2 linked regions of the Ovis aries genome follow. The protein of the gene in region 2 interacts with the protein of the main gene of each other region in a pairwise test. Links are inferred from orthologs where the notes say so. Each region holds a gene or a part of one and is shown on either strand. Other genes may lie near its edges. The genes, in order: ZNF639 and PNKP.

Region 1 (3,815 bases), on a different chromosome or scaffold from region 2:
TTCCTGCTCCAGAACTAGAATCAGCCATTTCTCCAAGAAGCCCTCATTCTTTCTATTGGAAAATGGTATTAGAAACCAGGACCAGGGCACGAGATGTGCTCATTGCTACTGGGATGTTATTTCTGTTAGACTCTCAGTTAACAGAGCAGAAAATACGTGCATGTGCACTACTACAAATATACTGACATCCCATAAATGTTTCTGTATGTAACTGTGTCTATATTAAGCCAAATATGAGCTCATACTGATGTCTCTGACTGAATGTTCTTTAAACGACCACATCCTTCACCTTGTGTTCTTTCCTTCCATTAGCCCTCCAAACAGAAACGCAGCTGAGCAGAACAACTGTGTGTAACACTGTTCTTTCTGTGTGGGGTTTTTTTTTTTTCCACTCTACACGGCACTTAGGATCTTAGCCCTCTAACCAGGGATTAAACCTGCACCCCCCTGCAGTGGAAGTACAGCGTCTTAACCACTGGACCATCAGGGAACTCCCGGAAATACCACTATTCTTAACTTTTCATCATAAATACTCAAAACTCTGGGTCACTCCTGCTTCGCCACGAATTCCTAGCTGACTAAAACTGATAGAGGAGGATGTGTTTTTGATGTATATGTTTGAAATGATGTTAAAAATTAAAATTCACTTACCCAAAAGTCTCTTGTTTTCTTAAAACAAGTTTAGATACTTGCTCATTTTGAAATCATCACTTTCACCCACATTTTCAAATAGGAAATGAAAAATTATAAAAGCAATTTGAATGAAAATATTTTGGAAAATTTAAATATACCTTTGTTGTCAAAATATTTTAAGTCCGGTTGTCTCATAGAACAAACACTGTAACAATGATCAGAAAAAATTCCATTGAATCCATCTGCAATTCTGCTTATTCCAGAGGAATCTGAACATAAAACAAAATTAAAAAATTTTCAAGCACACCGTACACATAAACATCTAATGACAGCCATCTCTTTATCCAACATAAATACATTTTCATAGTATTGTAATAAGGTATTAATATTTTCTTGAATTCTGAAGGCTTTCATAATTCAGATATTGACTTTGAGCCTTGAAATAACCATAAATTATACAATTTAAAATATAATACTTAGAAACACACTAAGATATAATTTTCATGGTCAAGAGTCCCACAAAATATGAATATGTAATAAATGTGTTAATTGCAAAAAACACTGAATTAACTACCAAGCAGATCTGCCATGTACTGCAGAGAAAGCATAATACACAGAGGAAGGTCTGAGGACCAGTTAGGGCTTCTGAAGACAGTCATTTCAACTCTTGCCTCGGAAGGGCCAGTTAGGTAGACCAGGTTTAATTTCCTCAGATATGAAAAACAAGTAGGCTGGGTTGGTTACCAGGTATACCTGAGACAGCCCCAAGTATACATGTGCATAGCATAAGAGGTCAAGACCTCTTATTTGCCAAGATAGTAGAGCCATACTCAAAGAAAAGATCTAAAGTCATATAATCAAAATGAAACTTAAAACATTTCTGAAAATAATGTACAGGATAAAGTTTTTTTCCAATGATGGAAAATTACTTCCATCAAGGTTATTATTAAGACTTAAGCACAAGCTTGGGAAACACAGGCAAATCTCAATTATGCTATGTAAGTATGTAACTTGGATATCTAATCTTAAATATCTATAAACTATGAAGTTGTGAGAATTAAAATAAATGTCTGTGAAATTCTGATGTATGCCTAGCATACAGCAGATATTGAGAAATATATTTTGAGAGAATTTACTTACAGTTTCCTCTTAGCTAAAAGTTCACCCAGATATTTAACTCTAATCAGATCATTTATGAGAAAATGGATGGAAACACAACTGCATGAGAATTGAACACGGCCTAACTTTTAAATAATTTAATCGTACACTGACCTGAATAACGAGAAGGATGTAAAGTCTTCCTTTTTCTTTTTTTAGGATATTCATTCATATCTTTTTAATCTAAAAAATGGAAAAATTTAACAAATACATCACAAATAACAAGTGTTAATATTGTTATGCAAATTTCTTCTAATAAAAAAATTGGCTGGCGATAGGAAATGTGTCATAAAAATCGACTTCAAGAGAGAAATGTTAAACAATCTGGCTTATATTTTAAAATTACTTTTCTGATCAAGTTTAAAGGCTGTGTTCTGTTTTCTTTCTTCCTGAGGTTGAGAACGTTTCAAATGTTGATGTAATTGTGAAAACTGAATAATTACATAAGCCGCAAGGAGATCCAACCAGTCCATTCTAAAGGAGAACAGTTTTGGGTGTTCTTTGGAAGGAATGACGCTAAAGCTGAAACTCCAGTACTCTGGTCACCTCATGTGAAGATTTGACTCATTGGAAAAGACCCTGATGCTGGGAGCGATTGAGGGCAGGAGGAAAAAGGGACGATAGAGGATGAGATGGCTGGATGGCAATACCGACTCGATGGATGTGAGTTTGAGTGAACTCCAGGGGTTGGTGATGGACAGGGAGGCCTGGCATGCTGCGATTCATGGGGTTGCAAAGAGTCAGACACGACTGAGCAACTGAACTGAACTGAATGCTTATTTTCTATAAAAGAAAAATTGTACCTATGATACCAAAAAAAGAGTTTTATAGGTATGTTTCTTACAGTTGGGAATATTTGGACAGTTTTGAAGCCACAGTTCAGTTCAGTTATGTCCGACTCTTTGCAAGGCCATGAACTGCAGCACGCCAGGCCTCCCTGTCCATCACCAACTCCCAGAGTCCGCCCAAACCATGTCCATTGAGTCGGTGATGCCATCCAACCATCTCATCCTCTGTCATCCCCTTCTCCTCCTGCCCTCAATCTTTCCCAGCATCAGGGTATTTTCAAATGAGTCAGCTCTTTGCATCAGGTGGTCAAAGTTTTGGAGTTTCAGCTTCAACATCATAACTACCAATGAACACCCAGGACTGATCTCATTTAGGATGGACTGGTTGGATCTCCTTGCAGTCCAAGGGACTCTCAAGAGTCTTCTCCAACACCACAGTTCAAAAGCATCAATTCTTCAGCGCTCAGCTTTCTTCACAGTCCAACTCTCACATCCATACATGACTACTGGAAAAAACCATCGCCTTGACTAGAAGGACCTTTGTTGACACAGTAATGTCTCTGCTTTTCAATATGCTGTCTAGGTTGGTCATAACTTTCCTTCCAAGGAGTAAGTGTCTTTTAATTTCATGGCTGTAATCACCATCTGCAGTGATTTTGGAGCCCAGAAAAATAAAGTCTGACACTGTTTCCCCAACTATTTGCCATGAAATGATGGGACCGGATGCCATAATCTTAGATTTCTGAATATTGAGCTTTAAGCCAACTTTTTCACTCTCCTCTTTCACTTTCATCAAGAGGCTCTTTAGTTCCTCTTCACTTTCTGCCATAAGAGTGGTGTCATCTGCATATCTGAGGTTGCTTATATTTCTCCTGGCAATATTGATTCCAGCTTGTGCTTCTTCCAGCCCAGCGTTTCTCATGATGTACTCTGCATAGAAGTTAAGTAAGCAGGGTGACAATACACAGCCTTGACCTACTCCTTTTTCTATCTGGAACCAGTCTGTCCCATGTCCTGTTCTAACCGTTGCTTCCTGACCTGCATACAGGTTTCTCAAGAAGCAGGTCAGGTGGTCTGGTATTCCCATCTCTTTCAGAATTTTCCATAATTTATTGTGATCCACACAGTCAAAGGCTTTGGCATAGTCAATAAACCAGAAATAGATGTTTTCCTGGAACTCTCTTGCTTTTTCGATGATCCAACAGATGCTGGCACTTTAATTCTGGTTTCTATGCC
Region 2 (3,915 bases):
CTCAGCCTCTCTGTCCCTCTACATAGTCCTTCAGCCTCCCATGCAGCCATACCTGAAAGGGGACCCCCAGCTTCTCCACCACAGCCTCCACCTTCGCTTTGAACTCCTCCGCTCGCAGCTTTCCGCGCCCGATGCCCATCTGGTTGGTGAAGATCACCAGCTGTGAAGGAGATGGGGTGTCACCCCGGCCTTTCCTCATCAGGCCCGGGCCCGCCTTGTGAGCCGGCCCCTACGGAGTACACACCTTGTAACCCTCAGCGGCCAGTTCCCGGAGTTTCCGCGGAATCTCTAGGTACAAGATCCTAGTGCGGGCGAGGAAGCGCAAGGTGACCTGGGGCCCGGATGCACCTCACCACCCTCTCCTACTGCCTTCAATCACCTCCAGTCACTGGGGCTAGTGGGGAAGACCTTCCCAGAACGTGTGGTGATGAGGGTCCCGTCCAGATCAAAACCAGCCACCTGGCGTCACCCAGAAAAAAGAGCAGCACTGTTACACCTCTGGGCCACCTAGCTCGCAGGCTGGTTCGCGTCAATTCTGCAAGCTGGGACTATGAGCGCCCGCCCCTTACAGATGGGGAAACCGAGTCACAGCTGGCCTACCCATGTTCTGTAAGGACAGGATGCCACCCGGACAGCAGAGTGAAATCTTCTCTACCACCTCCCACTCCTCCTGAGCCCCTCAGTATTTCAATCTTTAAAATGGGTTTTGTATCCGACCCAGCCTCCTTCCATGGCCTATTTTCACTTCAGGGGACTAATAACCATGAAAATCCAAATATGAACTAAGTTTTGTTTGGGTGTTGACTGGACTGTGCTAGAGCTGTCTTCAGCTTGGGCCTCACCTTGCCCCGAGGCTTCACACCAGGTGCTGTGAACACCAGCAGCTTCTCGAAGGTCTCCCAGCCAGGGGATGACTTCCTTATCTGCTTTTTCTGCTGCTCAACATTTTCCTCCTCTCCCTCTCGGGTCACAGGAGGGGTGCTGGGTGGAGTGTCTGGCTGGGATTCTGGAGTGAGGGCCTCTTCCCAGCGCAGGGTCAGCGGGTGGAGGCCATTGACCAAATACAGCGTGTCCCCCACCCTCAGAGCGCCCTTCAAACCCGGTCTCAGCTCCTGGGTCCCGGCAGTTGAGGGGTTAACTCCCAGCTGTAGAGAGGCGGTAACTGGTGCTGGCCCCACCCCCGACAACCTTCTCCAATCAAATAACCCGAAAAAGGACTCGCCTTTCTCCACCAGCCAATCAGACCCTTGAGTCCCGCCTCTTCACCGTGTACCGCCAATCAGGCTCTGGGAAGATTAGCCTCGTCCCGTCTTACCCAATTTAAACGGGGATCAATGTTTACCCGATTGCAGCGGGCCACACCTGTTCCCCTCCCAGTCTGATTTTCCCAATTGGGCCCGTTCCCCGCTGGGTGACAATTCTCCGTACCCTCCATCCTCACCCCCAGTCCTGCTGCCTCTTGTTAAGGAATCGGTACCTGTTTCACTGCCACCGTCCGAGTCTCAGGGTCAGCGACCAGCTCCACTGAAGATTGAAGGGGTGGAGTCAGCATCTGAATCCTTGGGTGACTGCTTCTCTCTTTACTGGGGAGCATGCCCCGCTTCAAACCACAGGATGGGGCCACAGCACCCATTCGGCAGGAGGAAGCAGTTTATTTTCTAAGTAGGACTGGCTCGCTCCTTGACATGCAGGAGCCAGATAAAGGCCTTACAATTGCCTGGGACACTAGTCCTCGCCTAGGGAGACAACAGGTATTTTTCTGTGTAGAAATGGCTTCTCCTTGACAATGTAGGGCCTTGACAAGATGCAGATTCCGGGCTTGGCCCGCTACCACCCATCTCTGCTTAGCAATATGCACTTTTCTCCACAGAACCGGCTCTCTGCTTAACAAGGGTCGTGGCCTCATTCAAGTCTTCGCGGCAACTTGTGAGTATCCTTCTCTGCCCAGTGACAAGTGTCTCGGGATGGACTCCATCCGTTCCCGTTCAAGGTGTCTGGCTAAATCCAGGTCAAGCACCCTTTTTCTTTCTGTGCTCTCCACAGGGGGCACCTACCAACTTCGGGACTGGCCGCACCACACAGTTCCGCATGGTGGCCAAGCATATCCCCTCCTGTCTATCTTTCCAACTGCCTGTGTTCCCGCTCCTTAAGCACGCCACACCACCCGGTCCAGCTCAGGCCCCGCCCCGCCTACCCTGGTTTCGGGAGCACTTCCGGTCGGTAACCTGAGTCAAGGGTCCCCGGCCCAGGACCAGAGCTTGCCCGCCTGGGGGCAGGAAGATGGGAGGCGCTCCCCCAGCGGGGCTCTCCAGCCACAGGCGACCCTGGGCCTCCACCCTGGCCATTCTGGGAGTCGGCCTAAGGGGAAATAGGGAAACAGGTTTGAGTGGCATCTCTCAGTCGCTACAGGAAGTCCCGCCTCCTTCCGCCGTCTCCACTAGGAATTCCTTTCTTCCGCTAAAGGTTCCGGAAGTCCCACCCACTCATCGGCCTCAGGATAGTTTGGTTTCCCAGGCGACGACGCCCCACTCTACCTCTGGGAGCCTCGACCCTGCTTTCCAGGGCAAAGGCCGAAAAATTCGCGCTCTTGCCTCGGCCCCACGCTCACCCCTGCCCACCGCTTGGTTCATTCGCCACTTCCGACCGGGGACGTCTTGCCGGAGGCGCTGTGCCTGCGACTCGGCTGGCTGCTGTCTCTCCGCCCACGGAAATGACTCTTGCTACCGAAGTGGGCGGGGCATTGGCGCAGCTGCAGCTTAAGCCCCGCCCCTTCAGGCCCAGGAACCCTGCGGTACTTCTGCAGCTCTGACCTTCATCTCCTCTGCTGCAGTATGAGACTCAGGCCAGTAGAGGGGAGTGGATTCCATGCTCACAGATTTTCTTTCCGCGTTGAAGTTTTGTTTCATTTCTTTTGCCGGAGATAGTTACAGCGGGAGGAAATTCTCTTTAAGGTTATTGTCAGTTGACGAAATCCCGCCGAGACAGCAGTACTGCAGTTTTCTCATCTAGTGTGAGGATAATCGTTTCCACTTTGTGGGGTTACAAGGAACGTTGAGTTAGTACATGTAAATAATTTGTAAAGGTGTCTAGGTAATAGTTTACCCTGTTGAAGTCTTGTCTGTTGTTAGCATTCCATCGGTGGTGATCTGATGGGAGACGGGGATTCCGCCTTTGCATCCTCAGACCAGAAGCCATTTGTTCTTTTACCTCCAGCTGTCTTAGTCCGAAACCCGGCCTCAGCTGGGGGTTCCTGGCTTTTCCTGGGAACTACGTGGGCTCAGCTGAGAAGGCAATGGCACCTCACTCCAGTACTCTTGCCTGGAAAATCCCATGGATGGAAGAGTCTGGTGGGCTGCCGTCTATGGGGGTCGCACGGAGTCGGACAAGACTGAAGCGACTTAGCAACAGCAGCATGTGGGCTCAGGAGACCGACTCAAAACTATTCTCATTCCGAAATTTACAGCCCTGAAGATTGGGATTCCACTATCACACAGGAATGGAATCTTTTCTTCCACCCTGTGTATCTACCTTTTCTTGTCTGTGAAATGGGGACGAGTTCAATTCCCAACTTCGCGTGGAGAAGCAATGAGACCTGCTCATTTGGCTTCGAAAAATTGTGAATGAATACCCAGAACACACTTCATATTCATTTGTCAGAGGTAAAACTCTTTAATCTCAGAGCGCCCCTCCCAACTCCCAATCCCCACCCCCGACTCTCTCCCCTACGCCAGGGCCGGAGAGTGAGGCCCCCTGCCCCCCACCTTGGGTGGACGAGAGCCCTTTAAGGCACCTGTGGGGGTGGGGGAGAGGGGCGGGAGCTGGTAACGTCCTGGATGCAAGGACGGGTTTGATTGGCAGGCAGTTGTGGGATGTAACCAATGAGAGGGTGTCAGACGCAAGAACCGGATCAGGCCA

Evidence for each region.
Region 1: the proteins of PNKP (region 2) and ZNF639 interact in binary tests that used the Homo sapiens proteins (3 or more experiments, as listed by UniProt). The two-hybrid records come from large-scale screens. The link is inferred for Ovis aries from reciprocal best matches to the Homo sapiens genes PNKP and ZNF639.

Annotation. Positions count from the first base shown.
Region 1 is NC_056054.1:208,553,277-208,557,091, forward strand, and holds part of ZNF639 (zinc finger protein 639), read right to left. Parts: intron 1,975-3,815; 5' UTR 1,964-1,974; coding exon 1,906-1,963; intron 903-1,905; coding exon 792-902; intron 1-791. UniProt on the Homo sapiens protein: Binds DNA and may function as a transcriptional repressor.
Region 2 is NC_056067.1:55,947,199-55,951,113, forward strand, and holds the start of PNKP (bifunctional polynucleotide phosphatase/kinase), read right to left. Parts: upstream 2,723-3,915; 5' UTR 2,535-2,722; exon of another isoform or gene 2,359-2,534; 5' UTR 2,346-2,358; coding exon 2,195-2,345; exon of another isoform or gene 1,871-2,194; intron 1,752-1,870; exon of another isoform or gene 1,525-1,751; coding exon 1,478-1,524; exon of another isoform or gene 1,376-1,477; intron 1,146-1,375; coding exon 843-1,145; intron 460-842; coding exon 380-459; intron 303-379; coding exon 245-302; intron 161-244; coding exon 53-160; intron 1-52. UniProt on the Homo sapiens protein: Plays a key role in the repair of DNA damage, functioning as part of both the non-homologous end-joining (NHEJ) and base excision repair (BER) pathways.